4 linked regions of the Drosophila melanogaster genome follow. The protein of the gene in region 3 interacts with the protein of the main gene of each other region in a pairwise test. Each region holds a gene or a part of one and is shown on either strand. Other genes may lie near its edges.

The links.
Region 1: the proteins of SmydA-3 (region 3) and CG13300 interact in a two-hybrid assay, tested with the Drosophila melanogaster proteins (one large-scale study listed by BioGRID).
Region 2: the proteins of SmydA-3 (region 3) and Rab26 interact in a two-hybrid assay, tested with the Drosophila melanogaster proteins (one large-scale study listed by BioGRID).
Region 4: the proteins of SmydA-3 (region 3) and Clp interact in a two-hybrid assay, tested with the Drosophila melanogaster proteins (one large-scale study listed by BioGRID).

Annotation. Positions count from the first base shown.
Region 1 is NT_037436.4:6,347,659-6,355,057, forward strand, and holds the start of CG13300 (uncharacterized protein), read right to left. Parts: upstream 4,733-7,399; 5' UTR 3,499-4,732; intron 3,172-3,498; exon of another isoform or gene 3,078-3,171; coding exon of another isoform or gene 2,652-3,077; exon of another isoform or gene 2,618-2,651; intron 1-2,617. Other genes in the region: Sfp65A (seminal fluid protein 65A), read left to right, coding at 2,652-3,077.
Region 2 is NT_037436.4:21,316,956-21,324,313, reverse strand, and holds the start of Rab26 (Rab26), read right to left. Parts: upstream 5,541-7,358; 5' UTR 4,370-5,540; coding exon of another isoform or gene 3,683-4,369; intron 1,934-3,682; exon of another isoform or gene 1,729-1,933; intron 1-1,728. Other genes in the region: Pc (polycomb), read left to right, coding at 6,404-6,517, 6,832-7,358. UniProt on the Drosophila melanogaster protein: Participates in exocrine secretion.
Region 3 is NT_033779.5:10,846,318-10,855,597, forward strand, and holds SmydA-3 (SET and MYND domain containing, arthropod-specific, member 3), read left to right. Parts: upstream 1-3,823; 5' UTR 3,824-3,942; exon of another isoform or gene 3,943-4,531; intron 4,532-4,923; 5' UTR 4,924-5,014; coding exon of another isoform or gene 5,015-5,370; intron 5,371-6,045; 5' UTR 6,046-6,200; coding exon 6,201-6,568; intron 6,569-6,792; coding exon 6,793-7,122; intron 7,123-7,235; coding exon 7,236-7,462; intron 7,463-7,516; coding exon 7,517-8,115; 3' UTR 8,116-8,287; downstream 8,288-9,280. Other genes in the region: Porin2, read right to left, coding at 1-189, 256-581; porin, read right to left, coding at 1,551-1,851, 1,924-2,151, 2,227-2,546; Dnz1 (DNZDHHC/NEW1 zinc finger protein 11), read right to left, coding at 8,870-9,140.
Region 4 is NT_033779.5:818,051-823,873, reverse strand, and holds Clp (clipper), read right to left. Parts: upstream 3,911-5,823; 5' UTR 3,796-3,910; coding exon 2,905-3,795; 3' UTR 2,665-2,904; downstream 1-2,664. Other genes in the region: CG3662 (uncharacterized protein), read right to left, coding at 98-237, 305-1,016, 2,215-2,322; PGAP2 (Post-GPI attachment to proteins 2), read left to right, coding at 4,540-5,170, 5,231-5,367. UniProt on the Drosophila melanogaster protein: Component of the cleavage and polyadenylation specificity factor (CPSF) complex that plays a key role in pre-mRNA 3'-end formation, recognizing the AAUAAA signal sequence and interacting with poly(A) polymerase and other factors to bring about cleavage and poly(A) addition.

The sequences.
Region 1 (7,399 bases), on a different chromosome or scaffold from region 3:
AACCTGCATAACTGATGCAGCCCTCCCACAGGATCTGGGCGTGGATCCTGGAACGGTGGCATTTGCGGCATCCCTGCACCGAGATCCTGGCGAACTCGTTGTGCCGGCAAAACTGCGCCCCGGAATTTTAATAGAGCAAATTTCAACAACAAGCTAGAAAAATAAGAGCCAATAGAATGCACAGGGAAGGATGAAATTGTGCGGCGTTTTATTCTGCGCTGGTAATAAAACTTCAAAATGAAGTTTAGAAAACTTTTTAAATGCCTTTCGCCAAGACGATGGACAGGCGGTGAAGTATGGGGGCGTTTCAACTCCACCTCTTGCTCAAATTTTTCCCCCAATAATTTAACCACGCACAAGGCACACACCCACTGAGAGGAGAAGAAAAAAATAAATAAAACAGGGCTATTATAATGATGATGACGCCTACAACACAACGCCCACGCACACGCCCCGTTTTGGAAAGAGCCTCGTAGGATCCGCGCAAAATGCTAAACGGGCCCCAAGGACCAACGCCACCAGGACACACAACTCGGCTCTGCCCGGCCAGCTTTTTGCAAATTTACGATTATGATTATTACAAGTCGACGTTTTCTGCCAAGGATTCAAGGATTCGTGTTGCCAGAGTGGGAGTGAGCCTGTCATTTGGCCAGCTGTTGGCGAGAAAGCTTCTACTCCTGTTTCCCAAGATGAAGAACAAGTGCAAAAGAATGCGTCAAGGCATTTTAGCACTTTGCCCCCAGACAGAGTCCCATCTGAACGCCAGAGACCCCCATCCAAAGTTGGGCCAAAGTTATTACAACTCTTAAAGATGCCACCGGGGCAGGATGTATCCTAGGGATGTGCTGCCTCGTCTTCGAGTTCTCTGTGAGTGGGTGGTGGTTGGGCGGAGACATTGACCTCCAGCGGGTTGTTGGACAGCGTCTGGAAATCGGCAAATTCCATGGGGCATAATAAACGTAAGATAAAAGTCAAAGAGGGACAAAAATTATATAATAAACTGTACAACGAAATGAAATTATTGCAACGAGGGTGGGCCAAGCTGGGTCGTTATCGGGGGGCTTCGCTGTACTGCTCTCGAAGCTGGTAAATAAAAGTTTGATGTGCAAGCATTTCGTAAAGTTTGCAAAGTTTATTTGCAGGTTGGCTTTGCAGATACACTAAATGGAGTTGGGTTGTTTCTGCTTTAGGTTTTCATTCAGCATGGGCTTACTTTAATTAAATCTGTTGTTATGCAATTTGGGTACAGCATCATATTTATATTTGTACACTTTAAGAAGGTACTTGATATGTTTATGTACCATTTCAATTGTAATATTATTGCTGGTAGTGTATTTTCCATGTTGGTATAAATCAAATATAGAGTATTTTAACAAAGACACACCTAAACAAATTTCGTTCCGCGCTTGTTATTAAAACTTTAAACATTTTGCAACTCTCTGGAGGGAGATCGAAAAAATCTGTTCTCCGGATACTGTTAAAAAATTCTGAACTTTTGGGCTGGGTGATGTGGACAGACACACCTATACACCAGTATATACACATACACCGAGGGGCACAACAATAAGCCAGGAATGCAGGTGGGTGAGGGGTTGGGAAAGGGGGCGCAGGAGAACAGCACTGGGCGCTTTGGGCTTATCAAGTTGAGCGCATCAAATTCTCAAAAATAATATACCAAATCATAAAAGCATGACGATGAGCAATTTACCAAAGCCAAATACTCAGAGACGAAACAAACACGGGATGAAAAAAGGAAAAAAATGGGACGGCGTATGGAGGAAAAGATTCAAATCGAGAACGTGCCCCAAACGAAGAAGAAGTGCCGATTATGTACGTATAAATAGGTATACTTTCGGTTGCGCTGTAAAAACAACAAACTAAATGATTAATGATGAACCGCTTTTGTCTGCTAGCAAAGCATTTCATTTTCACTTTTCCACCGAGGCAGCTCTGGCTCACTATGAACCCCACAATTGGAAATTGAAAATGTTATTTTTCAACTTGAACTTCGATTGCTGGCATCTCGCGTCGCTTTCCACTGCTGGCCGTAATCACTTTGTCATTGCCATCATTTTTCAGCATCAATTGTTTAGCGGCTCGACATAAATTCACTTCAGAACCAAAAGCGTAGAAACACAAGAGAACGAGAACCCGCTCTGGGTCTAATGGAAATTGAGAGATACAAGAATCGAAGCCGAGCAGCTCCAAGTGGCCCGTCACAAATGTATCTGCAGTAAAACTCGATGGAAAACTCGATGGGCTTCAGCCTGATGGAGTGGACTTCCCTGGAATTGGCCTACAGCTTGGCCCGCTTTTAAGTCGCACCGAACCAGAGATCAAAAGAAAACTCGTTGACTTACTCGAGACGAAGCCGGGCTTAAGCTTAAGAAATATTACACCAATATATATAAAGGATCTAGTAGCTATAAGTATATCCAGTAATTTGCTCGGGATTAATGCAAACTTCTGTTGGAGTTTTGAAACAAGTATATAACCATTTAACACATGGTATAACCATGTAAATTAATGCGAAATGTGAATCAAACCGATTTCATGCTAAATGTCAAAGCCTTACATTTCTGTTAGCCACAAACGACTTGTAATGATAAAGGCAGATTTCTCAGCTTATATTAAACGAATCTCCACGGACTATGGTTTGGATACTGCGACTATTGTCTATCCTTTGCGCCAGCGTTTTAGCTTATCAGAAAGATGACAGTGCCAATAGCATTATACTTAACGATGGAGCTATAACGGTAAACACCTCCACATCGGGACTTACGGAAGCGGAGGGAAATACGTATGTACCAGGACCTGGATTCTTTCAAGAGACTTTCCTTGGCAAAAAAACGATTGGTTCATCTCCTCGATTGCCAGATCTAGGAAATAATATCGTCGTTATGAGCGAAAGTAAGCAATTGAAGGCCGGTGAAAAAAACATTGTTAACTCCAAAGTGCAAACGGTTACAAGAAAGCCCAAAATGTCAAAAGCAGATATATTTCATGGTATAAAATTATTTCAAGGACCTATTCATGAGCAGTTTGAAAACGATCTCCATGACCATCATCACGATTAAAACATCCTTCAAAAGTAATTGGGAAGGAAATAAAGTTAAAGGTGTTAATTGAAAATTAATCAATATACGTTCAATATATTAAAATATCACAGACTAATATAAAATTCTTTTAAATACTTTGAAGTTAATAGTTACTAACTAAAGTTAAAAGTTAATAACTTGTTACAAATTATAGTAATTTCGAGTATGAAATCGATAGCGTTTATTCAGGCAGCAACTAATTTGGCATTTCACGGGAAAAAAAGATTCATAACAATAAAGCCCTGTAAAAACCGATCTATTTAGTTTGTCATAAGTATTTAGCCGTATCTTGCCTGTCTTGCCAATACATTCTTTCATAAATCATTCTAGGAATGGAAGGCAATCGAAACAAGCTTAGCAGGCAATTGGATGAAGGAAATGCAGAATTCTTGAAACTCACCTCGTTTTCATGTGCAGCGATGTGTTTGTGTGTGCCAATTAGCCCGTTACGTTGCCAATTGGAATGTTCACTTGACTTTGCCGTGTGCTCAATGCGCTTTTTATGGCCAATGTTGCAGATGCTGTGTTCCTGTTGTCCTTTTCACACGGCGACAACGCGGCGGAGACGTAATCCACAACTTGAGCACCGTTTAGTGTGGCTCGTTGTTGTTTTAGTTGTTGCTGTGTTGCAAGGATAACGGTAATTAACCCGTCGGGGTCGCCTGGCTGCAATTGCATGCCAGTCGTTGGGTTATTGGCCGCCACCGAGCCGCTCGCTTGACACTTTTCAAACTTTTTTTCTCTCAGTTGGGCAGCTTTTTTATTCGCACACTCGGCGTTTAGAACACACACTCATGTACAATGGACGACACACACACACACACTGGGACACGCTTCACTATGCGCTAATTTTTTTATTCCGCGGATGCATTTGCTTGCCTTTTACACTTTTTGCCTGGGTCCGCGTTGCAAATCTTAGCGCGTTGTTTTTAAAGAAAATTCCAAAGACGACGACAACGGCAGCCGTGTTGTTCTGTATGTGTTTTTCCTTACTTTTTTTAGATTTGTTTTTTTTTTGTTTTGTTTTTTTTTTGTATTTGTTTTTTTTTTTGCCGGGTCTGGCGCTCCGGCGGCAGCTCTTCCGCAGAAACAAGCTTGCAAGCAGGTTGACCAAGACCAAACCGAGTCCAAGATGCAGCAAGGAGTTCGAGGTGGAGGTGAAGGTGGTCGCTGCTAGCTGGTTGCTGCCTGCTGCACAAGTTGCAGCCAAAGAAGTTGCAAGTTGCAGGGGCGCGGCTGCGGGCTACAATCTGCAATCTGTTTGTGGCATTAAATCAGTGAACCAAGACGCTCCTCCGCTCGGCGGCCAGATTTGTTTATGCCTCCTCACTGGTTATGCAAATTTGTACTATAGCTGTACGTACAGCTCAATTAACGCGGCATTCTTGGGGATTCTGCCAAACTGCCGATCGCACACATTGATCACCGCACAAAATCACTTAACAATCGGGGTTTATGTATCATATCAAATCATATAGTGGTACCCTGAACTGAAACTCAAAAGACGAAAAAACCAATGTTGCTGATGGGGGGTTGCTATGTTGCCAATGTTGCGAGCTGTTTTTGGTTCTGGTTTGGTTTTTTGTGGGGATATCGTCGTCCGCGGCCCGCTGACTTTTCGGCTGGCAACGTTTCGAACCGGTCTCAAGTACAAACTGAACGGCACGCACTGGGAACAGGTCCGTCGAGGTCCGTGGAACATGGGCGGAACGCCATGGAACCGGCACACTCAATGCCCCCGAAAACTCACTCAACACTTGAGCTGGCCACTCGAGTGGAACTCGGGCGGAAAATCACTCGGCTTGGAGTCTTTTCGGGAGCAAGTCGGTCAGGTGTTTAAGCCGCTGCCGCAGTTGCGTCCGCATCTAATTGTGAATGATTTATGTGGGTCGTCGTCCCCCACCGGGCGGCACCACCAGCAGCTAGGAGCACTAGCACCAGCACCAGCACCGCACCATCGATATGCAGCATAACATCGGGGCATCAACGAATCCACTCTTTTGGCCCAAAGAAAGTGCCATAAGCCGTTGCCGCTGGAATGGTGCAGGCTTTTCTTTCACCGCCGATGCAGTTCGCACAATTGAAATGAATATTCAGATGGCCAAAAGAGCGGAATCGGAAGAGATTGGTGAGTGTTAAAAGTGGGTAGGAGTGTGCCATCCTACACGGAGGAAAAAATGGTGTGCCTATTTGTTGCTGCTTGGTCTCTGCACACTGTTTTTTGTTAGGTTACAACCGTAAAATCAACAAATTACATACAACTTGCATTTGAAATTTGTAACCTAATCCAGCTTGGCAAGCTCGAAATTGCATTCTGTAAGTACGAAATCCCCAATTTATTTTCTCTGTGATTTGAGCAGAAAACAGTTGCCATTCAGTTGGTTTAATCCCGGCCAGGTCCAGGTCGTTGGCTTTAAATTATCAACGGGACAAAGGACACTCTGCCCAGCTGGTCAGGTCCCAACTCCCAACTGGCGTTGGCCACTGGCCATAACTAAAATCGCCAGCACATTAACAGTTCGTGCAGATGGCGAAGGCGAAGGCGATGGTGATGGTGACTCAGGTGGCGAGGTCAGACTGGTCTGGTCTGGTCTGATCCCTTTTGGGGGAGGAAAAGCACCTGCTTTATTATGCAAAAGTTTGCCGGCTCCGTCAGGTGAGTGTCCGTGGAAAATTCTGTGGAGAAAGCGGCGAGCAGCGAGGGGCGATGCGTGTGCAGTCAAAGTTACAGGCGGGTCGAGGTTTGGACTCTACTTAAAACTTAACCAGCACAAAAAATGTGCTCCAAAGGCCAGTGAAATCATGGCAGATAAATGGTGAAAAAAGCACTTAGTTCTTGCTTTTATCAGTAATTAAACTTTATATCATTAGGTGTTTTATCAAAAGAAATTATGGCGGGTGAATACTGCAAATGGACATTTTAATGGGAATGATGCAGCCTGCAATTTTGTTCTCTCTTTTACATTATATCATTCATTTTAACTGAAGATGATGTCAAAGAAAACACAAGTAGAAACTGTTCCCTATTTAAAACCTATTCGCTAGTACCTAACAAATATAACATCTAAAATGACCATTTTTATCTTAACTTTATGTTTAGTAGGATGGTAAAACTTGAACATTAAATTTAAAAAGCGTTTTCATCTCCATCTGTGGCCTAGCAGCTGGAAATTCTTAAAATAAATCATAAATAAATTCAATCAGGCCTTTAGCAATTCCTTGAGAAGTAAACGCTTAGAAAATATGCATTAAAAGTCAAACTTAATATAGTTAGCCATCTTCAGCCATTCGCTCCACCTAATGTCTTGCGACTGCTCAACTAATTCAAGATGGACAGGGCCGACACTCAGATGGGCTAGACAAGTTCGATGCCTTGGATGGGCATCCGAGTGGGCCAGGCCCACCTCCTCCTGCTCCCCCAGCTCCTTCTTCATATCGACCACGACTCCTCTGACAGGCAGAAGACGTCGTCGACGAGTCAGGGATTCGATTCTGGGATGACGATGCCGCGATACATTGCCCGCCAGAGAGCCTTTCGAATGATTTATGAGAAATGCGCCGTTTCTCCGTCTCCGAAGACGGAGCGCCAAGCCAAGACAAACAATTGACATTTGATGGATGCGTAACTTGTGCATTCAAATGCAACTAGCCAAGTTGAAAGGAGGGCCAAGACAGGGGCCACGTTATATTTGACAGACCGGCGGAGAGGCGTCGGCTAATTGTTATTGATAATCGCATTGGCTGTTATGTCTTAGTTTTTGTTGCCTCACAGCCGATGCCGATTAATTAGTCAATTAATGAACATGATTTTGTGGAGCATCCAACTCGAGGGACAGCCGCATCGAAAGCCACATCCAATTGCAGTTGCGGTCTCCTCCTGGGCCGATCCGCTAATCAGATCCCTTGGCCAGCTTCCACACGAAGACCTTTTGCTCCCGGGTGAATTATGCCCGGACAAACTCATTGTCTGCTGGCTGAAAATCACGGCTCCATCCTGCGCCTGCCTAACTGCAAACAAACTTCTCTATTATTGATTTATACCTTTCAACGATTCTCTGTATTTATCATGAGTGCAAGCCACATTTATCATTAATAATGCCGCGCCAGCAAGAGCAGCGGAATCGGAATCGGAATCCGCGGCAGCGTTTCCAGACGCAAAGTGGTAGCCCAAACGAGCGGCAGGAGCGGGATCGGAATCGGGATCGGTGGCAGGCAGCAGGAGGAGATGCCCCGAGCATCCGCATCTAGGCAGCTGCCAGACCCTGGGCAGCAACCGTGGGTGTCGATGCTCAGAATGGATA
Region 2 (7,358 bases), on a different chromosome or scaffold from region 3:
CTTTTGAAAAAATGTAATGCAGATATCTTTAAAGCCAGTAAACAAGTTCGATGGACCTAACTATTTAAACTCGGATGTTGATACTGTTCAAGAAAATATATACTTCATATGGTAGGCTTTACCTTTTCATTAAGGGTTTTCGTTTTAGGTAACCCTGACTCACTTTTAAAAAGGGGTTTTTATGATGAAGTTTCTGCAATTAACATTTAGTTAATTTAGTTAATTCATAGTTTAGTTTAGCTAATAGGATCGAGACTTTTCAAAAAGCTCTATTATTCTGCTAACTTCCGTAGAATACTCACCCGGCATTCTTTTTTTTTTTAGTAAAACTTCAAACTGGCGAGTGAGCCAATTCGCAGGACAAAAGGCGAAGTGCTTGCGCGAAGGTTTCATAAAACTGCCAGGCCAGCCACACAACAATTTAGTTCCAGTGCATATTAGTGGTCATTCCGAGCGGAGGGACAAAGGAAAGGGCTCCTCTGAAGGAGGGGCACTCACCACCCAGGAGATTTGTGCTACTAATCGGCTTAAACGACGGTTCAAGTGACTTTCACCCCAAGGGGACGGCCCAGGAAATTTCGAAACGACAAGAAAGAGGACACCTGTGGCAGTGAAAGAAAAGTTTTGGGGGCTTTATAGACCTATTCTCCTCAACCAACCGCTTTTGAAATTTTTCAAATCGTCGCAGATAGGCAAAACTAATTTTAATTTCGAAAATCGATGGCTCATTTATCTCTATGAATAACGTTTAAAGCGAAAAGCCACTTAAGGAATGTACCTCAGCTTCTAGCTTGTTAGACACTAATATAAGTTCGTTGTTAAAAAAGCTGATATCAATGGAAAATCATCACCGTGGCCCTCGGCACTTTTGTGTTCATCAGCAGTTATTGACTCCCACATAATTAATGCGCATTTGAATGAAACCCGAGTCCGAGTAAACAACAATGGAATCTGGTTAAGATGTGAGAGACATAAGGTTCGGGTATAAATTGGCTTACATTTAATTGCATTTATCAAATTCCAATTTAATTTAGACAATAAGCTAGTGGCAAATGAGTCGAGAACTCTGCAAAACAATTGAATTTTCCAATTAACCGAATTATCAGAATTCGCCGAAAATGACAACAATGATTTACTTAAACCAAAGGTTTTCTGCGAAAATATGTTGGTTTGGCGGCAATGTGTTAAGTCTTTAAAAAAGTATACATATTTCCATTCTAGCATCTTAATAATCATAAGTAAGGTAATGAATTAATTAGTGTTTGTCCCTTTAAGCTTCAAAACCGTTAATAAGTAATTTCCAGTTCCAAACCTTGAAAATATTTAACATGTTAGTATTGACAAATATCTATTATATGTCTAGTTCCTTGTTATGCCTAACAAACCAAGATAGTATCATATATAGGCATAACTTATACTTCAGAATGTTTCAAACAGATTAATCAATTAGAAGGAAACCGAAATTCCCAAATCCGCTCAACGCAACCAAAGCCAAAAGAATGTTGGTTACAACCATTTTCCGCTGCCCTTCAATTATTGAGTACCGAGCAAAAGCCAGTCTACCATAATTGTTTTTATTTATTTTTAACACGCGCAGGACCTTGTCAAATCATCCAGACATCACAACACACAAGCCATTTGCACACACACGCGCGCAGGATGGTAAAAGGATAAAAATTAGGAAGTAATAAAGTAAATAAGAACTGCTGCTTAAATGCAAGTGCTTACTAAATGTTTACAAAATGTAGTAAGTCTTTAATGAGCGCGCCTCAGAAAGTCAGACACAAACCAGCACTTCACTCTACTTGGCTCGGAAACTCGCGACCGAGTGTTTTTTCGGCTGGAGCAGCTGGTTCAGCCTTCCACCTGGCTGGGAAATACGGAAAAGCTGCGAGGGATGCGAAGGATGCGCGACCGATGCTTATCGGAACACACAGCTAGACTGACTGGCGGGCCCAGGAGAAAACCATCGTCGCATCAGTCTCAATTCCTCGCAATCCTTCGCAGCAGCCGAGTCCTTCGGCTTCGCTTTCAGTCCGATTTCAGTTTGAGTTGTAGTTCGTGTGGCTTCGGCTATTTCGGCTTTGGCTTGGAATCAGGAGCAGCAGCAGCAACCCTGGCCTAGAAACGTTAAAGGTGGCGGGGAACGGGAAGGGGATTTGGTAGGTTTCAGGACTCAGGTGTCTGTTCAATAGGGTGCTCCGATTCTTGCCAGAATATTCTTCTTACTTCCAATTCCATACCATACTGCGAAATTCCATATCAGGGCGAGAATTTCAAAATTTCAGATACTTTGTGAAAATAAATATGATTAAGATTTTTAGTTAGAAATATGAAAATTCCTGAAACATACAAATGCTACCGCTATATAATCATATGGATCTTATGTATATAATGCTCCGAAGTTTAATAGTTTTAAGTAGTTTTCTGAACCAGTGTCCCACCCTGATGGAGAAATGTTTGTGCCCCGAAGTTGAGCACGCGCTTAGTGTTGCAATGGGGAAAAGCGGGCTAGCAGGGGGAAAATCAGCAGCAGCAACATCCGAGGCAACTGAAAACCGTTGCACTTGAACTTCACTGGCGGCCATTGCGGTGGCTGTCTGTCTGTGTCTGTGTCTCTGATTGCGCCTGTGTGCGGGCGTGAGGGTGAGCGTGGGAGAGTTCGTATCTGTGTGTGGTGCGGATTGCGGTGAGTGAAAGTGAAAGGCAACAGCAACAGGTCGCGCGAGTGTGTGAGTGCGCGCTGCACATACAGTCACACACAGACAGCCATCAATGTCAGCACAACACAACAACGTGGAAAAGGTCGAACGCAGAGATTTATATTTACCGTGCGGGAAAAAATCAATTTGGGGGATTTCAGCATGCCCGCCAAAAATAGAAAATCTCCGGCGATTACCCGAACAATATGTTGCCTATTTAGCGGAGTAAAAAGGTGCACTGCGAGAAAGGATTCCAATTGGTCTTGTCATTTTTAATACGTTTAGGAGGCGAAAAGAGTTTTATTATTTACTGCGGAATAGTAATAACATGTCTCTGTACCGAAAACTAGAAATATATGTATGTAAATGGCACTACTACAAATAATAATATTTAAACGAATTTAGGCGTAACAGCCATAGAGAAAATTTTGAAAAAACGACAGTCTGTTATGAGATTTGGATTAGTTATTTACTCCCCAGTGCCCCGAAGGCGGAGACTTATATTACCAAAAGCAGGAACTGCTCCCCAATTAGGTACACACAGCAGGCCAATGCACACAGACGTACTCTTACTACATAAGCGAGCCCATTCGAATGTGCGTCAATACATGGGCGGGGAAAGGGGCGGCTGGTTAAGTAGGCGGGGTCAGGCTACTGTGCGGGTTTCATGCAGCAGGCAGCGCTACGGATTCGCCCACAATCGCAAGTTTAAGGCCAAGTGAGTTCCACAGCTTGGGCACCACGCTCGAACTTCTGCAACTCGAACCAACATCTGTCAACATGCGAGAGTTCCATTCTGTATTTAAGTTGGCATATCATTAAATTCACGGGTTAGGCTACCAAGTACTTTGCATTGCTTTGATGTTGCTTTTACCGAGAAAGTAGTTTATAAAACGGTAATCCTTTGGTTCGAGTTACAGCATATGGAGCTAGAGTAGTTTCTACTTACAAACTGTGGTACTGCAGTATTCAAAACTCACCGTAAGCGCAATGCCCACTGTGGCGGAAAAGGAACCCAGTCGGAACTCGCCCGTATTGTATTTGACCAGGAAGGAGGTCTTTCCCACGCCCGAATCCCCCAGCAGGATCGTCTTGTGGTTAACCGTATCATCGAAGGGCTGCTGATGGGCGTTGGACGGGGCTGGGTGCATGTCCACTTCATCGTAGCGATACGATCGCCAACCATCGTTATAGTCATCGTCGTAGTCATCCGTTCCGTACGCATACATCTGCATTGCCTCGCGGGAGGGACGATAGCCAGGATATCCGGTGGCCGAGCGCTGAACGGGCGCCATGATAGCATCGTCGTGGTAGTGATGGCTGCCCGTCAAACTCAGCTGGCTGTGGTGGTGGTGGTGATGGTGGTGGGATGGTTGGTGGTGCGAGGATTGGTGGTGATGCGAAGGATTGTGATGTTGTTGCTGCTGCTGTGTCGTTGTCGTCGTTATCGAGGCGGAAACTGAGGCGGGCGCTGCGGGGGGATTGTAGGAGCCATCGCCAAAGGGCCGGCGACGCAGCTCCTCGATCCTGGCCTGGGTGGTCTCCGCATCCTCGAAGACGTCGTCGCTCATGCTGCTGGCGTCGTCGGGATGCGCTGATCCCGCTGGCGGTCCTCCCGCCCCGGGGTCACCTTCGCCGCCTCCCAGTCCCACCGCTGTGCTGGCCATTGGTTTCGATTTTATTGGATTGTGTCTTGGCCAAAAGTTGTGCTGACGCTTTTATCCTGAGCTTTCACTTTCTCATTGGTTTAGATTCGGGATTTGCTCTGAGCTTTATCTAGGCTTTCCCCTAATTAACTCCGAAACTGTCTCTTTTATTTGCGCATATTGAATAGAATTGTGTCACATTATCATCGACCCCTCTTCTGAGGATTTGTATGACCTCCTATTGCGGCGTTCCTTTCTCTTTTCTTTTTATAAACTCTTTTTTTAGGCAAAACGACTGATAAATACAAGCTATTCCATTGTCCTGTTTGCGTTAATATATGGCCGTAATGCTCAATCTACTGGTTAAAAAATAACCGGAAGTTTTCGTTAAGCTGTGTCTCTCTTTTGTTACTTTCTCTTTGCGATTTTGACACTTGGCATTGCTTCTCCCAATATAACTGTAACTGGCTAGCTTTTATCGCCTCTCATAGTTTTGACGTTTTCTCTGAGCTTTCTCTCATCGGCATTTCCGAGTTTTCTCTTTATGACTTTGACATTTACCGTTGTCCGTCGCTCCCGTCCGGTTGTGTGGCACGTTTTTCTGAATGAATCCGCTATTCGGGGCTTTCGCCTGGAGATGGGGTGGTTTGCCGTTGCTATTATTATTTCCTATATGCTATAAGCTTAATATTTTCGCCAGCCTTATCAGTTGGCCAGTTTTCCTAATCGCTATTCGTTAGTTTTTCGCTCCGTACAATTGAACTAGGTATTGGTTTTTCCCCTTTTTTGTTCGGTTGTTTGGTTGCTTGGTGTTTTGTTTGAAGCCACTAATTAAATATCATCTATGTAAATTGTAACTAGCTAAACATATTGACTAATATTTTATAGGTTATGCGCTAATTGGTGCTGTTTTCACTATGAATTAAACATTAATCTATTTATAGGGTTCGCAACAATTTGCTTGGTGTTTTTCTTTATGTTTTGGTTAAAGCTTTTGGTTAATTTCTCGTTTTCGTCGTTAAGTGTGAAGATTCTCCATGCGTTTCGCGTCCCTCGTCGAAAATATTGCGATTGATTTCAAGGGAATGGGTGTTATTTCAGTTGTTGGTCTTGGTGTTGTTGTTATTTCACTATCACAGCATAAATAAAATAATGTCATCGTCGTTGCCGCCCCCGCCACGCGAACCCTCGGCCAACATACAACTGGCATAAAATATCTGCAGTCGGCCACTTCCTTTCACATCCATCCTGAGCTTTCGGCGCTCTTGTGCTTTCTCACACTCTCTCCCGCACTTTCTCTCCCTCTTGAGGATGTGGCATTTGAAGAGTTCGAAGAGGGTAACTAGTTCAGTTGTAATCAAGTTAATTATCAAACTTAATTGAATAGGAATATGGGGCGAAGTATATGTGGCAATTTGTGATACAATAAGTGAAGCAGGACAAAGGAAAATCAAAACTCAATATGGGATGAAAGCAACACAACGATAAACGTTAACGAAAGTATAATATTTCGTTACCTGGAATTCAATTCAACATGCAGTTTAAAAAGAATACTGTACAAAGGATTCATTAAAAATGCGCTTATTAAAATTTGATTAAAAGCTATTTTATATTTAAGCTAATTGGTTTAACTTCTCGCCGGTTTAGTAATTTGTAGAAACGATAAAAGAAAATAGTGTATAAGGCAACAGCGCCAAAAAAATGTTTTCTAAAACATTTATATACCCCATTTATAAATAATAGAAAAATGTCAAGAAATTCTGAAAATATTTTAACAAAACATTTACATTTTAAAAACGCACAATTAGGTGTGTCTAGTCATCAAAGTTTTGAGTCTTTGCTAATTTTGCCAGGAAAGGGTGTGCGACACGGCTACTTGCTAAGATATGATCCCAGTTCTTTGTAGCACGGTAACTCTGCACCTCGCAGCACTATCGATTGTTTACATGAAAATAATCGAGTCGGACGACTATCGACGTACGCAGAATTGTAAACCAGAAGTTAATTGCAAATAAAACGAATAATAAAACGTTCCGAGAAGATTATTAATTAAAAATGACTGGTCGAGGCAAGGGGAGTAAGGGGAAGTTGGGGCGCGACAATGCGACCGACGATCCAGTCGATCTAGTGTACGCGGCTGAGAAAATCATCCAAAAGCGCGTTAAGAAGGTGAGATGAGCGTAAACAAATTCGAAAAAGGCGACCAAAACGGGATGCTCCGCTAAAAATGGCAAATGCAATATGCGCAGCACACGCAGGATATATGTATAGTCCACAAGGTCACATGTCCTTCGACATTTTTTGGCCAGAGGACATCTGCTGCTGCAACCACCATTTGCACGATGCATGTGTGTGTGCGTAGTGCGTTCGTATGTGTGTGTGTGTGTATGTGAGGCGTGTTTTTGTTTCGCTGAATGGAAAATCAATTAGTTGTCTAAGAAAATGCAATCCACCCCCACTCCTTCACTTACTCGATTTTCCAGGGCGTCGTGGAGTACCGTGTCAAGTGGAAGGGCTGGAACCAGCGCTACAACACCTGGGAACCGGAGGTAAACATCCTGGATCGCCGCCTCATCGACATCTACGAACAAACGAACAAATCCTCCGGAACTCCCTCCAAGCGAGGCATTAAGAAGAAGGAGAAAGAACCCGATCCGGAGCCGGAATCCGAGGAGGATGAGTACACCTTCACCGAAAACGATGTGGACACGCATCAAGCCACCACCTCATCGGCTACCCACGATAAGGAGTCGAAGAAGGAGAAGAAGCACCATCACCACCACCACCATCATCACCACATCAAGTCCGAACGCAACAGTGGACGGCGCTCGGAATCTCCGCTGACCCACCATCATCATCACCACCACCACGAGTCCAAGCGTCAGCGCATTGATCACAGCTCCTCCTCGAACAGCAGCTTCACGCACAACTCATTTGTCCCCGAGCCGGACAGCAACTCCTCCAGCTCCGAGGATCAGCCGCTGATCGGCACCAAACGCAAAGCCGAGGT
Region 3 (9,280 bases):
CCAAGGGCCACCTTCCAGCCCTTGAGTTCGGTGTTGCCAACGTCAAATTCGGTGCCCACGCCGCCGAGGAACTCCTTGTGGCCCACAACCAGCGAACAGTTGAGTATCGGCTCCGAGTTCAGTCCAATGTCGGCCAGGAAGTTAAAGTTGTCCTGGGCATAGCCCATCTTGAACTTGCCATCCGCCTCACTGTTGACCCGAGATGTTTATATAATTAAAGGATGCTACCTAAACGATCCCCAAAGGAATACGCACTTTGATCCCGGCTGAAACTTGGCCTCGACGGCCAACATCAGGCCCTGTGCCAACTTATCCCGGTGCATAATCTCACCGAAGAGCCAGTTCTCCGTGTTCCATCGCTCGGTTAGGGTCAGGCCTTGGTCCTCGATCTTGTACTTGCTCTGAAGCGAGCCGGTCACCTTGCTGTTGTCCTGGCTGGCGAAGCCGGTGGTGAAGAACTCAATCCCCGAATTGGTCAGGGTCTTGCAGTCGATCTGCCAGATGCCCGGATGGTAGCCGCGCTTGAAGAGATCGCGGGCCAGCTTGCCCAGATCTGGGTATGTCGGTGTTTTGGCGGCCATTACGGGCTGTATGAATAGGTGGTATGGTATATATGGCCCGACTAATTTCGAAATTTTTTGTCTACTTTTCAACAGCCTCGATTAGCCGAAAATTTATGTCTAACGCTGCCTGATCAGTATCGAGTTTTATACACGCTGGAGACCTGTGAACTAAAACGCACGGAGTCCTGTGCCCAACCGAAAAAGTTAAGTTTTTCAAGCACAAAGAACTTGGGATCAGTATAAGGTACTTATCTTATTATACAGTTTTTTCTTTCAAGCTTAAATCCTTAAATTAAGCTAACCATTCCCAAGCCTTCCACCACCAACGCTGCAATCAAGATAATTTATTTCTTCTCGATTTATTTCTCAGGTAAATGCACAACGAAAAGGTAAAGATTGTTATTAAGGATGTGATTTTGGTGTTATGTGTGTCCTAGTTTCGCCGCAGGATTTTGCAGGCAATCCGTAAAGCCTTGAGAACTGAAAAAAATGCAATGCCTTTTGAGCCATAATATTCCGTCTTTTCCATTTTGTTTTTTTTTTTCGTTTAATAGGTAAATGTATTTTTACTGCACTTTTGTCAACAACAATTTCGCTAATATTCAATGCACTAATCAAAGCTACATCCAACGACGACGGACTGACCTGACCGACCCATCGATTGCACCACCCATCCATCCCCCTGCATCGTTTGTTTGGCAGTGTCTCTCCTGCAGATTCGCGTGGCTGGGGCAGGGAATGGGCGGATGTGGTGATGGCCGGCTGACAACTAATCCAATCCAATCGAATCGCTAAGATGTGCAGATTCTCTTTATATTTGACTGTGTGTTGTTTGTTTTTAAAGAATATCGTATCTTTTATTTTGTTTGATCTTGTTGTTGTTTCTGCACTTGTCTGGCTGCTGTTATTGTTGTTGTTGTTGTTGTTGGGCGTGTGGGGATGTTAGACAACGTTCAAGGATTTCACGACTAGCGGAAAACCACGGACTTAGGCCTCCAGCTCCAGACCCACACCGATCTTGTGGCCGCCGGCATTGAAGTTCTTGCCATCGACCAGCGTGGACAGGGTCAGGGTGACTCCGTCGCGCAACTTCTGCTGGTAGCCCAGACCCACCTGGCTGGCGTTGTTCACCTTAGCGCGCACGCTGGCATCATCATCCAGCTGATACTTGGCGCCGATGGCGAACTTGGTGTTGCTGGTGCCGCTGGCCCACGACAGCTGTACACCCACATCCAGCTTGTCCGAAGTGCGTTGGAAGATCGAGCCGCTGAACTCCTGGCCATCGTTGCTAAACACCGGACAAGGCAATCATTAGTTTGCATTGATTTCATTTGCCATGCGTGGCAATTGCAATACTTACACAGCTGTGTGCAGAACAAAGTCCTTGGTGGTGTAGCCAAGGGCAAAGTTGTTGGTGGTCAGCTTGGACTGTTGTGTGTCAAATGCGGTCTGGTAGCCGGCCAACCATCCCTGGTAGCCAAGCACGGCAGAGGCATTGATCAAGGGGCCCTTCAGATCAATGTTCACATCCGAATCGGCCTTGACGTTCTCATGGCCGTAGGCAACCTTGAACTTGCCGTTCTTGTTTCTGACGATTTTTAATTAAATATGCAATATTAATTATTCTGCAGTGAACATATATGTAATAACATGTGATCCTTACCCAGACTGAGGAGCAAAGTTGCCCTCCAGGGACAGCTTCAGACCCTCGAGGAGCTGATCCTGGACAGCAACCTCGGTGAACAGCGTGTTGTCTGTGTTCCACTTCTCGGTGAGGGTCAGGCCGTAGTCCTTGACCTTGTACTTGGTCTCCAGGGAGCCGAAGACCTTTCCAGACTCCTGGTTGGAGTGTCCGGCTGTGTTGAACTCAATGCCCGACGAGGTCTTAGTCTTCAGATCGAGCTTCCACAGGCCAAAGTTGTAGCCTTTGCTGAAGATGTCGCGAGCCTGTTTGCCCAAATCGCTGTATGATGGAGGAGCCATCTGGAATGGATTGAAATGGAATGCATTAAATCGCACCTTCAATTAGTTGGTGAATAATCGATAATCATGACGATGATACTTATTGCGAAATCATTTCACTCGCCAGGTCATTAATTGCGTTTAGCGAACGATAAGTTTAATCTTATCAGCAACATAATGATTATTACTTTTTGCTCGACTTGATTTCAAAATGTTCTATCGGCCGCAAATGAAAAGTGAAAACTAAAAGACGCCAAAAAACAGCATCAACATGTCCCAAGAATTTCGAGGGCTTTTTCCCCATTTTCACTTTGGCTAAATGTCAATTTTGTGCGGCGAAAATAAAGAAATCAATTTAGATTAGTGTTCAAGGCGGCCACATGCAAAGAATCACCAACTGAAGCAGCGAAAATTCTGAGTGACTGAGGAGGGGGTCAATGCACGTCTGGGCAAAATAAAGTGGCGCAAAAAATAGAAGCGAAGATAGAAAACAAATAGTGACTAAGTCTATTTTACTCCAAGAAATTAAGGGTTTTCTATACCAATGCAAAACCATTTAAATCAAAATTTATTTTTCAAATATTTTTATAGGTTTTTTAAACTAAAATTTTAATAAAAATACTGAGATTTTCCCTATTTATCTGGCCACAGGTTTGCCTCTCTCTATGTTTACGTTCCGTTCTTGCTGGCATTAATTGCTGGTCAGTTCAGTCCCGTTAGGCTAGCGATCATTGACTCAGAAGCTAACTGCACATTTGCAACGTCTGCTGTGGTCACTGCTTCGCTGTTTCTATTTGCGTGACGTCAGGAATGCGACTCACAGTCGCGGTAGGAATATTAGTCGCGGATAAATAAATTTCTATCCGATATTGAGCATAAAAAAAATCAAACAAAAATAACCCAAAACATCTAATTGAAATTATTATATAGATATAACAATATAAATATTTCATGTTGTGTTCGGGGGGATTGGTGGGGGGAAACTCAAGGCAATCAAGGCAGAAAATTATGAAAAGCAGCGGCCAGCAGACAAAAATCTTTATGGCCGGCAGCCAAACGTTAAATGGGATGGGCTCTTATTGTTCCGGAAGTCAGGTGATATAACCTGGTCACTAGATGCTGAAAATAATACTATCAGGTGGATGTCCCGGTGAAAATGAATCAGCATCTCGTTGACGATGACCTTGACAAGCAGATTATAAAGGGGGTGGTTGGGTGGATGTGCAGCTCATTTTTTCGACAGTTGCATAACAGCAGGGAAATCGATGAGGGAAAGTGGAAAGCTAAGTGAATAGCTGCCCGAAAAGGTGGTCTATTGATTTTCCAGGTGACGTCACTGCGAAAATACCACCCACAATCGCGAAGTGCACCCACCTCCTCACATGACCACAAACAAACAAAACGACGATAAAGAACGGTAAAGAGTGAAATCGAAAATGTTTATTGAGCGAGCTGCACGCTGGTGGATGGCAACATGACGATAACGAACGGAATTGATGCGACATGCGTTACGTAACGGAAATTCGCCAGGCACTTTTCCATCGATCTCTCTGCTTCTTTGCCCCCTTTTTTCGCCGGCAGCTGCTGCCAATGAACTGCGAAGGCATTGGTGTGCGTGGACTGTTCATGTGTGGATGTGTGTGTGACAGCTAACCGGCTTAATATCCCCTTTAAATTTCGGATTTATCAATTAATTATTGCGTGATTTGGTGATAAGAAGCTCGCCCATCGTCATCCAACAAAAAAGTGCTCAGCCCTTTTGCTTTTCGTTCATGCGCGTGTCTACTTGCAATTTTTTCATTTCGAGGTTATGAAATCACTGGCACCGAAAATCCTGATTTTCCTTCTACCCATAGGGGTATCCATCACATTTCACTGAATTTTGAGGGGGTTTACTCCTGAGCTACTTACTTTTGATGAGTTTTAGTTTGGTTAGAGTGTAATGCGAAACGCAGAGGAACAGAGACACCACGACAAACGTACACCAAAAAATTTTGTAATTCTGTGCCTTAGTGTTACCAACCCTAAAAATTCGTCCAATAATTATTCCCTAAAACAAGCCGCAGATATACTATCTGGTAACGCTGCGTCACTCTTAATGGCAATGGTCACACTTTTTGTAACGGAAATTTGAAAACTAACGGTTACTTAAAATAATTATTGAAATTAGAATTCAATCATTCTATTAAGAAATTCGTTATCTTAAGAACAATTAACTTACATCAAAGTGTTTTTTTTTTACATAAAAGGGTTTCCTGCAAACGAAAACTTTAAAGTTGTGGACAAGTAAATGGGCTTTAAAAAAGTTATAATCCAAAGCAATCAAAATGCAATAAATATATTACAACTTTATTGATTGACACCAATGAAGTGTGTGCGATGCTCTTTTTATTTTTAGACGAATCTGCGTGCAGGGCCGCCAATCGACCGCATAATCCCATTCGGATGGGCCAAAAGCGAGACCAGTGCATTTGCCGTGCGGCGACAGAATGTTGAAGGCCCGTCTGCAGGAGGACGCCGTGCTGGGACGCTGCTTGGCCACCTCTAGCTCCGTGGAGCGGGGCGAGCTGGTGCTGGAGGAGCTGCCCTTCGCACGCGGACCGAAGCGCGACAGCGGAATCGTGTGCCTGGGCTGCTACCAGTTCCTGCAGTTCGGAGAGGACGGCGATTCGCTGGACCGCTGCGAACTCTGCGATTGGCCGCTGTGCGGATCGTGCGCCGACGACGAAGACGTCACGGAGCACCGCGGAGAGTGCCAGGTCTTCTCCGCCGCACGTGTCACTTTCGCCGGGAATGTGAGCGATGATGGCGTCTGCCCGCAGTTGGATTGCATAACCATATTGAGGTTAGTTCGCGGGCGCTCCAGCGGGGCGGGGGTGATGGTGCTGGGTACATCCGTACAGCAGGGGCTACTGGGTGCTACTAGGGGAACCTGGGCGGTCTGTCCGAATATTAGTTTTGGCAGCAGCGGCCCATTTCTCGCAGTTCGCAGGCTAGCCGGCATATACAGATTCTCATGGCGACTCTACGTCAAAGAAGGCGGACGGATGGATTAACAAGTCTGTGAAAGGGACAGTGGAGCAAATCGCACAGAAAATAAAAAATAAATAGCTAAATTTAAAGTGCATGAAAGTAAGGAGAAAATTATGGCATGAAACAAGCCATATTTGTACATATTATTATGACAGAATAATTGGTATATGATAGTTGCGGCGCGTTATGATCAATGTACCATCATGTTTTTATATATTTCGTAGCAAAACTGAACTGTAAGCACTGTGAATTATTATTTAAATAATGTTAAGCACATGTTTAAATAGATCGGTGCTTAGTACTTAGAAATAGAACTAACAAAGCCAAGCAACTTAAAAGTTACAAGCAACTTAAAAGTTACAAGCAACTTAAAAGTTACAACCAGTAAATTATTTAATTTATGAAAATGTAAGGTATTTTAGTTATTATAGAAATTGAACAATGTTTTCTCAAGACAATTTGTTCAAAACTAAAATTTCTCACCTAGGACCTCGCATGCCCACTGTGCCCAGCAATTTTGATGCTTTATGTCGGAGCAGGCAGAAATGTAGTCATGTAGTGGGGAGGAGGCATCATCTGTGGGGTGTGCCCATGACATGAGATCTGAGATCTGAGTGCGGCCAGCCGGCATCAGTCAGCGAAATGACATCGCCGCCAACGCTGTCGGTGAATAGGACAGCGGTTCAGTGGAGTCCGGTCTGCGGACGCTATCTGGTGGCCAAGGGAGCGATCCGTGGCCACGGTCTGCTGATCGAGGAGCTGCCCTTTGCCGTCGGGCCCAAGTGCAATGGACCGGTGGTGTGCCTGGGTTGCTACGAACCCAACCCAGATCCGGAGGAGGAGCTGTGTAGCGAATGTGGCTGGCCGCTGTGCGTGGAGTGCGCCCAACAAGCGGATAACGCCCATTTCCGCCTGGAGTGCAGCCAGCTGAAGGATGCTCGGGCACGATTCTTCCGCCTGCCCAGCGGCAGCAGGCACTGTCCGCAATTGGACTGTATTATGCCGCTCAGGTGAAGCCCAGCGGGTGGAACAAAAATAGACCACCAGGCACCAGGCAAACTGATAGCGTCACTATTTTATCCGCTCAAGATGAAAGTTATATACAAAAGGATTCATTAACAATTAAAAAAGAGAAAGATTTTTAATTTAATGTAGCTAATTATAATCAATAGGTTACTTGTTGTGCTTCATATGATTGTCATTTGGAATACCCTTTTAAACTTTCTACTTTCAGAGTTCTGTTGGCCAAGGAGGCGAATCCGGAGCGATGGGACAACGAGGTGGCACCCATGGAGCACCACAAGGAGGAGCGCCAAAGGGACGCGGATGTCTGGCATGCGGATCGCGTTAATATCGCTCAGTATTTGCGCGGTCCCTGCCAACTGGCCAACCGATTCAGCGAGGAGCTGATCATGCAGGTGGTGGGTGTGCTGGAGGTGAACGCCTTCGAGGCGCGCAGCCCGAAGGGCTATCCACTGAGGTGCCTCTTTCCCTATACCGGCATTCTGGCCCACAACTGCGTGCCCAACACATCCAGGAGCATCTATCCCAGCGAGGGATACAAGTGAGTTGTAAATAGATTTGTAAATTCAGTTCTCTAGTTCAAGATGTCTAGAATTACATTTCCGCTGTTGCACATCTAAAATAAGTCCTCCTATATTTGTTTCTCTTCCAAAGAATCCGACTGCGCGCCATGGTGGACTTGGAGGAGGGTCAGCCCCTGCACCACAGCTACACCTACACATTGGATGGCACTGCCCAGAGACAGAAGCACCTGAAGCAGGGCAAGTTCTTCACCTGCCAATGCGAACGCTGTCTGGATCCCACCGAATTGGGAACGCACTTCTCCAGCCTGAAGTGTGGTCAGTGCGCCGAGGGATTCCAAGTGCCCAGGCAGCCAACAGGTGAGCGAAAAAGATCCTCTAGAAAGTGATAAGCTGACCTTATCCACTACGCAGAACCGGACACTAGTTGGAACTGCGCGAACTGTGGCTCCGACACCAGCAATGCGGATGCACTGGCGATGCTCCAATCCCTGCAATCCGAGGTGAATGCCGTGCAAGCGCTGCCCATGGCAGCCAAGCGGCTGGAGGAGATCGAACGACTGTTGCGCAAGTACAAATCACTGCTGCATCCGCTGCACTTTATAGCCACCGGGCTGAGGCAGTTGCTCATCGAGATGTACGGGCGAGTACAGGGCTACGAGATGGTGCAACTGCCGGACCACCAATTGGAGCGCAAGGCGGAGCTATGCCGCCAAGTGCTGAGAGTGCTGAACACCTTCGAACCGGGTCTGAGTCGAACACGCGCCATGAATCTTTACGAGCTGCACGTGCCACTGGTGCTGCTGGCCAAAAGTGGCTTCATAGCCGGCAAGCTGAAGGGCGGCGAGCTGCGTGCCCGCCTCGTCGACGCCATAGATCTGCTGAAGGAGTGTGTGGAGATCCTGGAGTTCGAGGACAAGAGCTCCCAGGAGGGAGTGCTGTGCGTTGTGGCCAAACAGGCGCTGAAACAGCTCACACTGAGCGTCGAGGGACTGGGAAGCGAACTCGATTGATTGACTTATGCATATCGGTTAGCTTTATTGGGAACAGTTCTGGGTTTCTAGGGACACAAACTGCTGATGTTGGTGTTACATTTAAAATCTTATTGGTGCGCTGGTCGATGGTCGTAAATGTCAAAAGAACAATAAACTACAAAACTAAACAGTGATTACAATTATTACAAACTAATGATGCACAGTATTTTCTATTTGAGTGTTTAATCTCCGTTTTATTTCCTTTTTGGTATATGCGTCATTCTTCGGGTATATCGTAAATGCTTTTGATAAGGACTTAGTTTCTAGCTCGGTACATATTGCTATGTAGTATTGTATACAGTTGAGATTTTTCTACGTCTCAAACTAGAAGGTGCTGCTTACTTGGATACTGGTAAAAAATACACCGGGTGGCCAAAGAATGCATCGGTGTACAAATAATCAACGCAACATTCGCTGGCATTCTAAAGCAAGCAGCTGCAAAAAGTTACTTACAAAATAGCCGTGTTCATTTTGAGTATGCTCCTGTTGGCCGCCACGCTGCTGCTTTCTATGTATTTATAATTTTAAAACATTATAAACTAAAGCATAAATTAAGTTGGAATCTGCATATAATACACAAAACGAAATACGATTCAATTTGACTGGCTGCGGGCAGGGGGATAGGTCGTTTAAAAATAATCACACACACATTGATTAAAAACTAAAAACACTCGGGGGCTCTTTTAGCCGCACAGCAAACGCAAGGACAAAATATAAAGAATATTTCCTGACCCTAGACCTCGTGGCTCAGTAGAGGCGTATCATGGTAGCGGGAGGCATGATTGAGACTGGTGCAGGGCAGCAGCCACAGCGCCGGATGTCCGCGTCCGAACACATCCGCCAGCAGCTGGTACTTGCGCCGATTTGGACGATAGGTGCCCTTCTGCTGTATCGCCTCCACGGCCGTCTCGTCGTACAGAATCGCATGCAGCTGGTCCACCATGATGGCCGTAACGAACAGGCCGAACAGCGCCGACACCAGCATAAGGATAACCGAGTGAATCCTGCAACGGAGGGATATAAGTTATATATGACTCATAATACACTTTAAAATTGCGTGGCCAAGTAACGCATTCATTGTTTAAGAACTAACAAAGCACTACTTTTCCATCTTGCATTGCATTCCGCTTAGCATTCGATTAAG
Region 4 (5,823 bases), about 10 Mb from region 3:
TCTGTGTATGTATAAATCGATTCTAAGTAATAATTTGTTTAGGTTGTGTTATCATATGGGTGTTGTAGCTTAAAAGATCCTCCTCCTCCTCCAAAGCTCAGGCCTGTTGCCTAGCCTCGTTGGCCTCGTAGGCCTCCACCTCGGCGATGTTGGCCAGGTCGTACTCGATGACGCCCTTGCCCATGAACTCGGCGTACTTGGCTGACTCCGGCAGCGGATCAGCCGATCTCTTCGAGACTGTAATGGGTCGAGGAATGGGAATGGATCAGTAAGTTGCTGGCACCTGTAAGACATTGCTACTCACCGCCTGAGACGAACTTCTCCATCATGTAGACCTTCATATCGAAGCACTCGTTGGCAATCCGCTCCGAGATGAGCGAGACATCGGTGATGCGGGGCATGACCACACGCATCTGGCGCCGCACGCGCTCCGTATCTATGTTGTAGTAGCCAGTGCTCATCTTCTTTATGAGATCCACAAAGCTGGTCGGGGGCAGGGTCGTGTCCCGATCCAAGGGCATGATGAAGCACCGTCCGGTGGTAGTGTCGATAATGGCCGACTGGTTCTCCTTGAAGTCGTGCATGAAGCGACCACGACGTCCATCCTTGAAGTCGGGCACGTCCACGCGTGCGTAGCCCTCGTCATCGCTGTCACCGTCCAGTTCGATGTCCTCGCGGAAGTGGCTCTCGTCCAGCGATCCACTGTTGGGCATCGGTTGCGCGAGCTCGGGTAGCAAGGAGCGCCAGTTCAGGGCGAACGGTTCCACGGTGCGCGGATATACCCGCGCCATCTCCATCGAGTCCTCCGGATAGGGGATCTCGCACAGGGCGTGGTAGCGCATGCTGCTATGCGACGGAGCGTACACTCGGTACAGGGTCCATCCGCCCAGGACACCCAGGAGCATCACGACTACGGCGATCAGGAACAGCAGAAAGGATTTGATGCAATGGTGCTGCGGCCGGTTGAAGACCATGGATTCCGCGTCGGCTTCATTATCGCTGTAAGCAACCTTGGGCTGTGTGTGGAAAATGGGGGGTTTTAAAAATATGGGATACTCCTCTAAGTGTCACTTGCAATTTTGTAGGAACAACAAATTGCAATGGAAAAGTAGCAGTTTTATATACAATCTAAAGTTATCTAAAATGACCGACTTGTTATATCTGTTTCCTTATCACCCATTGTTCCAGTGGAAAGTCATAAAAACGACGATAAGTCGTAGAAAAATACAAATAGAAGGCAGTTGACTGTAATGTTGATAGTGGAAGTTCCACAAGTCGAAAGGTTTGAGCTTGCTGAATATTAATCACACATTTATATTTTCCGCCAGCTCAGCAAGATAATTTTTCACTGCAATGCCTTCTCTTGTTCTATAAACAATGCAATTGCATTGCTAAGTCAAAATTGTTTCGAAAGATACGTCGTTAGCGAGAGATTAGTCTAAGGAGGGGTCAGAAGAGATCCCCTTGCAAAAAATTAATCAATTGAAGGCATTTGCATGCACTAGAGTGGACCTTATTCGACTATGTAGTGCATAACTCATATGTAAATGTATGATTGTATATAAATCTCTGGAAAATTAGTGATATCTACACTAAATAAATAAACTGCAGATGGGCAAATATGCTGGGAGATGGGAGATGGGAGCTGGCAGCTGGGAATGATTGTGCTTATGACCAGCAAGCTGATAAGACACGACTTTCTCTGGATACCCGTGCACACGAATCGAGGTCAAAGTGCACAGTGTCAGCAGCTCACAAAGGGCTGCAACTGGCACCGTAAGTGGCTTTCCCCAGCCGTCAGGGCCAATCTCCACCAGCAACAGGAAAACCCTTCGCGCTGACCTCGGGGAGCGAGCGAGCGAGTCCTTGGCGCGGAAAGCCCAGGAAAGTGAATGGGCACACGTCACTTGGAGTGGAGCAGGGGTTGCATGCGGGCAGGGGGGTAAGGGGAAGCACGGGCCACAAGGACACCAAGGAGTGCGGAGCTTGGTCGGGGAAAAATCGATGGCGAGCTGCTGCTGCTGAGGCTGTAATTCGGAATGGATTCCGAATCGGAATCAGCACCAACCACCCACCCATCACGAGACTTGTGGCTCTCGGGCCGCAGGACGAAGGACACGGTGGCGGGCAGGGCGCGAGGGATGGACAAGGACATAGCACGATTGCGCAAAAATAAGGACACATCCCGCAGATGCGATGCCAAGCAAAACTCACTGCGATTAGGGAGCCATGGTGCATGAGCGCCTCGTCGTTGAGGTTCATGGGCAGGGGCACCTTCTCCTGGTCCGTGGGCTGTCCCCGCAGTTTTCCCAGAATTGTCATGGCTGCTCGTATGCTGTGTTCTTGATGCCTCCGCACGACCAACTTGTTTGTTTTTACTGAAAATTTAGTGCGCAATTGTTGACGAGCTGAAATCTCGATCCAGACAAGCCAGTGTGACCAGTTCTAATTCGCCTTTCAAAAGATGTGGACAAAAGTGAGGCAACTCTAGAGTGGTTGCAAACTTGGAAAAGACGATTCGCCGCCCAAAAATTCGAAACTTGAATCCGAAAAAAAATTGTGAGGCACAAATTGTTATCTTACAAACGAAAAAACATGATACATTTATATTTTTGGAGAAAACCCAAAACATACAACTAAACTCCCTTCCAAAACGAATTGCTTACTTGTATCTTATGGAAGTTTATTTCGCTGATAACACAATACGTTCTACTGGCAGTTCTAGGGACTTTTTTCAAAAATGCAAATGAGTTTCTTAACATACACTTTAAACACAGAATGATTGAAACGTTCGCCTGCGGAAGTTGGGAACCTACGACCTCTGGACTACACAGCGGACTATGCAGACCGCTTTCGACCTTTATTTCTGCACTCTTACAGTCTAATCATACAGAGCAGAGCGTCCTACTTATGACTATGTTGGTTAGAGAGGAAGGCGAGGTGACCCTTGGGACACTTGTTCGCGTAGTGGCCCTTGTTCCCGCACTTGTAGCAGGTGATCTCCTCCAGGGGCGTGGGCACCTTGACGAAGCCGGGACCATGCGGCTGACTGTGGTGATTGGATTGCATGTCATCGGCACCCTCGATGTGGCCGGAGTGTCCAGAGTAGCCGCCCGAGTGTCCGCCGGAGTGATCCATTGCGTTGATATTGTTGCGATGCTCCAGGCTGCCCACATACTGCTTGCACGAGTTGGCCTTGTGGCCCAGCTCGCCGCAATAGTGGCACGTGGGCAGTTTCTTGTGCAGCTGATCCTTACCCAGTTCCGCCAGCGGGGGCAGCTCGAAGTGCGGATGCATGTGCTTGCAGGACGGGCCCTCGGGGCAGAAGCCGGCTAGGTAGTCCATGCACAGGACACGGCGCAGATGCTGGTGCCGGCAGTGGGGACCGTGGCGGCAGAAGCCTCTCTTGTACCACGGACAATCCTTCACCTTGCTCTGCGGGTCGATGTGCAAAAAGGGACACTCTTTGTTGTGGCAGGCGTTGAACCTCGAGTAGAAGTAGCACTCGGGCATCTTGGTCATGTCGTACTCGTGCAGGAACTCGCACTGGTCGCCCTTCTTGCACAGTCCTCTCAGCCAGTGCTTGCACACGATCGTCCGGTCCCCGCGAATGTGTCGGAAGGGACAGGCGCTCCCTTTGTCGCACTCCTGTCCGTTCCTGGTGATGAAGTTGCAGACCGCCGCAATGGACTTGTCCATGCCGTAGAACGGCAGCGGGATGGCACCCACCTGCTCGATGAGGTCCCGCTCCGCCTTGAACTGCAGCCCACTTACGTTGGCCAAAAGGATGTCCATCTCTGACGGATTCGCGGATGCTCGGATAGATGAGGAAAAACTCCGAAATCTGGTAAACAATGCAGTTTCCTTCTTCTTTTTTTGCGCGTGTTTGTTGTTTCAGTGCGAATAGTGCTGACACGCAACCGGCGTTATCGATATCGATAGTTCGCAAGGCAAGACAGTCATGGCCGTCTAGCTGTTTATTAGCCAAATCTGTCCACTTCAGGGAATAGATATTTGTATATAAATATTTTTAGTCTCCAAATGTTTTTAATTTATAAGATTAGTCATAGTAAGAAAATACTTGTTTTTATGACCTTATTTAACTAAACCGCCATTAATAACATTTTAGCTATTTAGCTACAAAAGTAAGTTGATATTGGTCAGCACTGTTGGCGACTAAAGTATTACATAGAAATTAAGTATCCGCCCCGTTAGTGTTGCTGATAAAAGGGCTTATCTACAATGAACGAGCCAGTTTCAAAAATTTCACTTACACAAGAGCAACACTTGAATTGCTTCGAAATTTAAACATTAAACACTGAGTAAATTCGATAATGAACCACCCCCGCCGCCAGAGGCCGATAGTCAGCTGGTATCGATCACTTGTTTACAACTTTTCGCAATGTTTATAACGTAAGCAATCTGCGTGAAAAGCCATTAGTTAATTTGGGAGCGAGGAACTGAAAAATGAGGAGCGAGCGCCGCTGAAGAACCCAACCCGACCAACACCCCACGTAGTCCACCCACTCCAAAGGTCAAATGCTGCCTACTTACGAGCGCTTCAGTGATCCCAAAAGCGTCCTCTTCCGGCTTCCCTTTGCGCGACTGGCACTGGTGGCTCTTAGTTTGCCCCTGGGAGGCTTCTTCTTCTGCGTGATTTGGTCTCTGACCTTTGACTTCGTTAGGAGCACCTACACCCACTGCGATGTGACCAACTATCTGCCCTCCGTCTCGGCGGCCATTGGGAACTATGAGCCCCAAAAAACCGTCTGGAGACTGGCCATATTTCTGCATTTACCACTCCGTTTGGCAGTTGCCAAAATCTACTTGGAGCACTATCGGGAACACATCCGCCGGAGCAGAAGATTGCTGGGCATCCTGGCCTGCTTCTTGAACGTCGTGGAGGATCTGGCCCTCTTCTGCTTGTCGTTTTGGACCTCTGCGGATCATTACGAGACCCACAGAAACGCATTTGTGGTGTTCATTGCGTGTTCCGAGTGCTATATGCTGGTTTCCTACCTGCTGAACAGGAATATACAGAAGACCGTGCTCTTGCCGCACGAGGAGAAGTCGCTGAGGTACAAGAGAAATCTGTTCTTGGTGAATGTGATCGCCTTTGGCTTGGCAGGATACTGCTTCGTGAGGCACAACTCGCATTGCGAGGCGGGAGGTGAGTGGGAATCGGTTGTGAGTCCACTATTGTCTTATAATGAATCTTTTCTATCCACAGTCTATACTTTCTTCGCGTTGTTCGAGTACATCGTGGTGCTGACCAACATGGGGTTCCACATGACCTCCTACTGGGACTTCTACGCCCTGAATGTGGTGTGTGATGCCAAGCACGGTCTCTACCTATCACAATCGTAGACCAATGAACTAGATCAAACCCAGCCTGCGCCGCCATTTCAGCCAGCCAGTCGTCCTCGAGTATTGTGTACATACGCGGTATTAGCTTAAGCTCAATGTTTACTTAATTTTACCAAAAGGAAATTGCTTACGAGGGATTCCGAGAGGAGACGATTCAGTATGACAGGATCTGATGCATACACACGCTTTTAGCTTTAGGCTCTAACACGATTTTACACCTAAAGGATCTAGTTAAATTCGAACCGAGTTCCATCATTATGTAGTGCATTATTTATACACATACTCATTTAGGAACAAGGCTTCAATAAGGTTTTATTTTATACGTACTGAATTTGCTTTTATTGGCTTCTAATGTTCTAATTCATTATTTTGTAAGTCTAAAATTGTATTTATTAGAATTCAGATAAATTAACTTTTTAATTGCTTCCAATTGTTTGGTGTACTTTTAATCAACTC